Linked DNA regions of Kluyveromyces lactis. The protein of the gene in region 2 interacts with the protein of the main gene of each other region in a pairwise test. Links are inferred from orthologs where the notes say so. Each region holds a gene or a part of one and is shown on either strand. Other genes may lie near its edges.

Evidence for each region.
Region 1: the proteins of GCD1 (region 2) and SUI3 interact in binary tests that used the Saccharomyces cerevisiae proteins (3 or more experiments, as listed by UniProt). The link is inferred for Kluyveromyces lactis from reciprocal best matches to the Saccharomyces cerevisiae genes GCD1 and SUI3.

What each region holds. Positions count from the first base shown.
Region 1 is NC_006040.1:750,184-753,324, reverse strand, and holds SUI3 (translation initiation factor eIF2 subunit beta), read right to left. Parts: upstream 1,383-3,141; coding exon 546-1,382; downstream 1-545. Other genes in the region: ADD37 (Add37p), read left to right, coding at 1-129; YAR1 (Yar1p), read right to left, coding at 1,877-2,497; RTP1 (Rtp1p), read left to right, coding at 2,774-3,141. UniProt on the Saccharomyces cerevisiae protein: Component of the eIF2 complex that functions in the early steps of protein synthesis by forming a ternary complex with GTP and initiator tRNA.
Region 2 is NC_006039.1:830,476-834,131, forward strand, and holds GCD1 (translation initiation factor eIF2B subunit gamma), read right to left. Parts: upstream 2,147-3,656; coding exon 662-2,146; downstream 1-661. Other genes in the region: COX10 (protoheme IX farnesyltransferase), read left to right, coding at 1-409; proteasome regulatory particle base subunit RPT4, read left to right, coding at 2,586-3,656. UniProt on the Saccharomyces cerevisiae protein: Acts as a component of the translation initiation factor 2B (eIF2B) complex, which catalyzes the exchange of GDP for GTP on the eukaryotic initiation factor 2 (eIF2) complex gamma subunit.

The DNA.
Region 1 (3,141 bases), on a different chromosome or scaffold from region 2:
GAAATATTCGCCAACTTGAACGATTCAAAACGGGTTACAGATTTAATTACAAAATGGATGCTGTCGGATATGTCGGTGAATTCGTGGTGTCCTTCTTTCCGTAAATTGATCGAAAATGCACAGATATGATATTTTAACTGGGGGAAGGGTTTCAGATTATAGAGCTTAAATTTAAATTGATCTTTTAGAGCATTGATCTCGTCGTTTTGTTTATAACAACTAAATTACAGATTAGATAAAAACCATTAGATAACATACACAAACAGAAAAAAAATTAATAATGAACGTGAAAGAAGGATGAAGATACCTTCTATTCTCATTTCTTTTCAAGTATTTGGTGTTATTCATATGTTATGTGTGAATTGCACGATGCGATGCTCCCTGGAGAAAATATTCAACCATGAATATATTAGCTATGCCTTATGAGGTTTATTTGATTCCTTTCGAACTGTATCGTATTGAACATTAGAAGATTGTCGAAGTTTTTTCTGATTTTTCGGTAGATGTTAATGATACTACTATTTTGATACGTCATATCAATTAATCTACATTCTCTTTCTCTTACCGACGGTGGCTTGGAAACCGGTCTTGATGGAGGAAACGGATCTAGTAGAACCGCAACTCTTACAAACCAAGAAGAACAATCTGTTCGATTGTTCCTTCTTCAATACGGTATTGATACTCTTACAAGTCTTACAGGTGACATATTCCAGAATATACCTTCTTAATAGATTTTCCATTTGCTTTGGCAAGAACTTACCCTTGATGACCAATCTCTTTTGACCGTCAACAGAACCTGAGGTACCCAATTCCGCAAATAGATACTGGATTACATGTTCTGGGGATCTTTGTAATTTTTCACTAATTTCTTGGATGTTCGCAAATATAGTCTTCTTACCATCTCTTTGACAGATTGGTGGAGGGATCTTGAACTTTGGACCTGATCTATCACCGGCCAATTCAGGATTATTTGTGTTCAAAATCTTAAAGAAACGAGACAATAGGTCTTGGTATGGTAGGCCAACATCTTGTTGAATGCTAGAATCGATTTCAGTTGGAGTGGCCTCCTTGGCAATATCATCGACTGAAATACCTGCTTGTTCTAATTGCTTCTCAAAGTCATCCACACTGCTCTCGGCAGCAGCAGCCTTCTTCTTCTTTTTCTTCAACTTCAATTCGCCTAGAGCATCTGAAATGTCGTCCACTTGCTTCTCAGTGGTTTCTTCACCTTCCTTGCTCTTCTTCTTCTTCTTCTTCAAACCAGCAAAAAGATCATCTGTTCCCTCGGTGGAAGCAGCAATCAGTTCTTCCGGAACTACCTTCTTGCTCTTCTTCTTCTTCATCGTTGGATCGAATCCTAAGTCGGCCGCAACATCAGTCATCGTTGAGTATCTTTGTATCTTCTCGCTTCTTGCTAATCTCCTTAGTAATAACGGAAAGGGCCTTGAACTTTACACGAACTAGACTCTTGCCAACAGATTTCCACAGAAGTTGTCTTACCCTTGTGCAAATATGAGCTGAAGAATCCAATAGGATATTGAATAGCGATGACAATTGCGATCCAGTCGTTTCAATTCTCTTGGTTTTCCGAAAACTCACTATTTTCAAAATTTTCCCAGGCCACGCGATAGTGTTGTCATTGTGCACGTTCAGTGTTCGGGTAACACACGTGACTTATCTATTCTTTGGCCTTTGAGTCTGGTTAGATAAAACTCCGCTTGTTGGGCGCATGAGGTAGGTGTACCTATGTTTATTGATGATTAGTATACAGTTATGTACATGGACATTTGGTTCATATTTTATGCTCAAATTGGCCACAATACAGCTTTCCAGCCGAATGATTTTTTTTTGACCACGGTTCATTTTCAGAGGAAACTTATTCTAGTTGAAGCTTTTCAGTTTGCTCTCTTAGAGCTTCTGTAGCTTCTTTGGTCACTTGTTCAATCTCTGTACCTTCTCTAAATTGGACGTTGTCGATAGATGCGGGCTGTGAGGCTTGTTCTCCTTCCTTTTCCGATGAAGTTTCTTCCTCATTTTCGGTCGATTCGGGTTCCACGTCGAACTTCTTCAAGTAATATGTTTCTATCTCTTCTTGTCCGTTGTTTTCAGCTTCGTAGATGGCATCATGGTCGAAATTATTCCTGATGAATGGATCAGCCTCATACTCTTCACAAAGAAGCTGTACTATATCCAATTTACCATTCAACGAAGCCCAGTGCAATGCAGTGTTACCTGTTTCGTTTTGCTTGTTGACCCATTCCTTTAGTTTATCCTTTGGGAAAATGCTTAGTAGATATTTTACCACCTCGAAATGACCGTTGGCGGCTGCCATATGCAAGGCAGATGACTTAGACAATTCATCTGTACATTCAATGAGTGCACTTGGATCTATCAAAGTGGTAAAAATATCCTTAAGAGACTCCAAATCTCCAGCTCTTGCATCAACGATGATAGCTTCTTGATCTTCTTGATCTAAAGGTCCTGTATGTAGACTCATCTTACAATAATTTCGTTCTGTATTTTGGGCTTGATTGCGTAGTTTTCCTGTTCTCTGTTCATATCTTAGCTCATCTCATCTCATAATCCAAATTCTGTGAACTTTTCAATTTTTCATGTTAAAAGGTTACTTTTTCTTTTTCTCCGAAATAGATGTGCTAAAGGCTTTAAATATAATTCAGGACATCTCTGAGCACCTCTCTTTAGAACAACATGATCACGCCTACATCGGGAGAGTGTCAGCTGCGCCTTCAAGACCTGACATCGGTTTCACAAAATGTCAAATAAATTGACAGAAGTATTATCTAGGAAGCTTGATTTCGTAAGCGATACTCCAATTGATGCATTCTTTCAAGAGTTAGATGAATTCCTTAAACCTATAAAACATAATGACGATATTGGTGATATCTACGAATCATTAAACTTAAGCAACAAGGAACTTATAGAAAAATTAGCGAAGTTCTTGACTAGATTATGTAGTCTAGTCGCAGAAAAACAACAAGAAAATGCGGACATAATACCGATCTCATTACATGATATGAAGGATTTTGATACCCTAATCAATTTATTGGTAATTCATGGGATCACTGCAAATCTACCAATTGATATTGGGATACCCATAGAACAAAGGAGACTTGATGTATT
Region 2 (3,656 bases):
CATCAGGAATGAGTACAAGAACGCGGGATACGTCATGACTGCATGGAAGAATCCAAAGCTTAATGCTCGTGTAGCTCTGCGATACTCACTTCTGATGTTCCCATTATGTTTTGGTCTTTCATACTTCAATGTCACCGACTGGTATTATCAATTGGATTCAGCATTTGTTAATGCTTGGATGTCACTATGGGCATTCAAGTTTTATTTCCAGCAAAAGCGTAATTACTCCAAGGAGATATACAATAACAAGACAGAATTCAACAAAGGGTTGGCAATGGCCAACGTTTATGCGAGGAGAACATTCTGGGTCAGTGTACTACATTTGCCGGCAGTATTGATTTTAGCAATTTTGCATAAAAAGGACCGTTGGGACTGGCTCTTTGAAGATAAGAAACAACTCTCAGCATAATTTCACACATTCATTCAACATCAGGAAAATCTTACTTGTGAATAGTAATTTATTATTATGTATTTAATTCAGAACGAAAATCATCAATTATTTTGTAAACATAAACTGTAAATATTCAGAAATCCGTTCAAGAAGTTTACACAAGCTCAGAAGATTAGTTATCAGATTTCTATAATTATTAAGGTACACATGGTACGGCTATTTGATCATGATATATGCAAAAATACTCTATTTATAATAATTTACCGAAGTTCAACGGTCGAAGAGTCCATCATCAACATAATCCTCATCGTCATAATATTCATCAGTGTAATCAGACTCGGATCCAGATGAATCTGAATCCAGTAAAGAGGATGCGTAATCTTCGTCATCTATGTAAATACTTGTCAAAGTTTCACCCTTGAGAGTGGATTTTTCATTGACAATATAAGAGCCCTCAACATAACAATTTGTAAGCTTTGATTTCTTGCCGATTTTTGCATTTCTACCGATGATGACATTTTCTAGCTGGGTTTCATCATCAATTTCAACATTATCAAGCACAACACACCCAACGATACGGCATCGCTTTCCTACTTTACAATTGTCACCGAGGACCGAACGTTTAATATTGGTTTTCTCCAAAATTGCACAATTGTTACCAACCATAGAATCTGCACCGATAGCAGAAGAACCATCAGTAGTGCGTTGTTGAATCGCCGTTTGTTTAATCTTCAAAACGTACCTATTGGATTCCATGTATGCACTCAAACTGTTTGATCTGATAAATAATCCGATTTCAGGTAACACGAAGATACCTATAGTTTCTCTGGGTTTCACATGCTGCCACGAACGCCTAGACAAATCCCTGAATAGCTTGCCTAGCGATTTATTACAGTTTATTGGATCTTTGATTAATTTCTTCTTTCCCTTCAAGAAAGACGTGTTCTGGAATGATGTGGCCAAAGAATCAACGGCTTCCGAATCAGAGTCTAATTCTCCAGCACCTTTCTCGGTTTCATCCTTCAATAGGTTTACTAACTCATGAGAGCAAAAGTAAATGAAGGAGTTCAGTAATTTTGTGGATACAGAGGAGTTCGGATATCTCCAAAGCATTTGGGATCTGATTTGTAAATATTTCGTTTTGTCCACATCGTCTTTGGAATAAACGTCTAGAAGAACGGGCTTACTAACAGACTCCAAATTCTCGGAGTATACAGTCAGGAATTGCTTTAAATGCTTCTTATCGATATTCTCAAACCCATTGTGATAATATACTGCCATAGCTAGATTCTCCGGATCTTTATTCAAATACTGATCTAAAAACACCTGTGGTGGAATGTCTGTGATGAAATCACAAGGTAACAACACGAAATCTCCAGTTATCTTATCTAGCAATTCATTCTTCAGACATTCTCCTGTATTCTCACATTTTGAGGGTATAATATTAATAGGAGATGGTTTTTTCAAATAGTGAGCATGGTTCGATCCAACGCTTTGGGATAACAGTCCAAAATAATGCCCTCTCACTTCACGGTATTTTTTCAAACTTTCCTCTAATTCGTCAGCATCGGATGCGTCAATAACTAGATTGACCTCTTTAAATTGGGCTTGCTCACACCAATCTAGTACGAACTCAATCATGGAGCGGTTTGCAACCGGCAATAGAGCTTTGGGAACACCAGTGTCTCCACGAACATTGGAAAACGGTGTTAGCTTCGCACCACGTCCACAGAATATAAAAGCTTGAAAATCCATTGTTCTGTACTATTCTGGGAATATTAAACTGTCTTATCTGGAGATCAACGCATCAATAAAACGTAGAACCCACTATATATCTTCAAACTGTACCGTGGCAGGTCATCATCCTACGTGATGCTTAGGTTAGTCAATACTCCATCTTATATTGAAAAGCTTTATTCCTGAAAATTTCAAAATCGTGCGTAATGATCTCCCTTTCTATTTAGTAGATTCCGAATGCTTTTGCCACCATTCAATCTAGTAACCCATAGTCCAAATGAAGAGAATAGGTAAGAAAGGCCAAATCCAACCAATTGAGTTGAGTCAATCCATTATAACAGTACTAGTCCAACCAGGAAGGAATACTGACAGAATAAAGGTACGGGATTTTTCTCCTTTCATATTGAGAAGCAGGAATAGGAAGATTAAGCTAGTCTGATCAGAATAAATACTAAAGATGTCTCAAGAACAGGATCCTTTACTAGCAGCAATGGAAGAAAACGATGGTGATGACACTAACGGAGCTGGTACCAACTCTAATTCGGGAGAAAATAACGCTGCCGCACCTGAAACGGTGGAGCCTGTGGATCCAGAACAGGCTGCAAAGGAAAAAGCGATGTTACATTTTAAGAAAAGACTTATGGAACACAGACGATACGACGATATGTTGAAGCAACGCAGAGAAACCATACGGGTACTAGAAGCAGAATATGAGAGAACAGAACAGGATATCAAGGCGTTACAGTCGATTGGCCAACTCATTGGGGAAGTTATGAAGGAACTTTCCGAGGAAAAATACATTGTAAAAGCGTCATCAGGTCCTCGTTATATTGTGGGTGTGAGGAACTCCGTTGATCGTTCCAAGCTAAAGAAGGGTGTCAGAGTCACACTTGATATTACTACATTAACTATTATGAGAATTTTACCTAGAGAAACTGACCCATTAGTTTATAATATGACCACTTTTGAACAAGGTGAAATCTCTTTTGATGGTATCGGTGGTCTTACGGAACAGATCAGAGAATTGAGAGAAGTCATTGAGCTTCCACTAAAGAACCCAGAAATTTTCGAGAGAGTGGGAATCAAACCACCTAAGGGTGTGTTACTATATGGTCCTCCTGGTACTGGTAAGACTTTATTGGCTAAGGCAGTTGCTGCAACTATCGGTGCCAACTTTATCTTCTCCCCAGCATCCGGTATTGTAGATAAATACATCGGTGAATCAGCACGTATCATTAGAGAAATGTTTGCATACGCCAAAGAACATGAACCTTGTATCATCTTTATGGACGAAATAGATGCTATCGGTGGACGTAGATTTAGCGAAGGTACCTCAGCAGATCGTGAAATTCAACGTACATTGATGGAACTATTAACTCAGATGGATGGTTTCGACAACTTAGGACAAACGAAAGTTATTATGGCTACGAATAGACCTGACACTTTAGATCCTGCTTTACTAAGACCTGGTAGATTGGACAGAAAAATCGAAATCAGTTTACCAAATGAGGCAGGAAGATTAGAAATC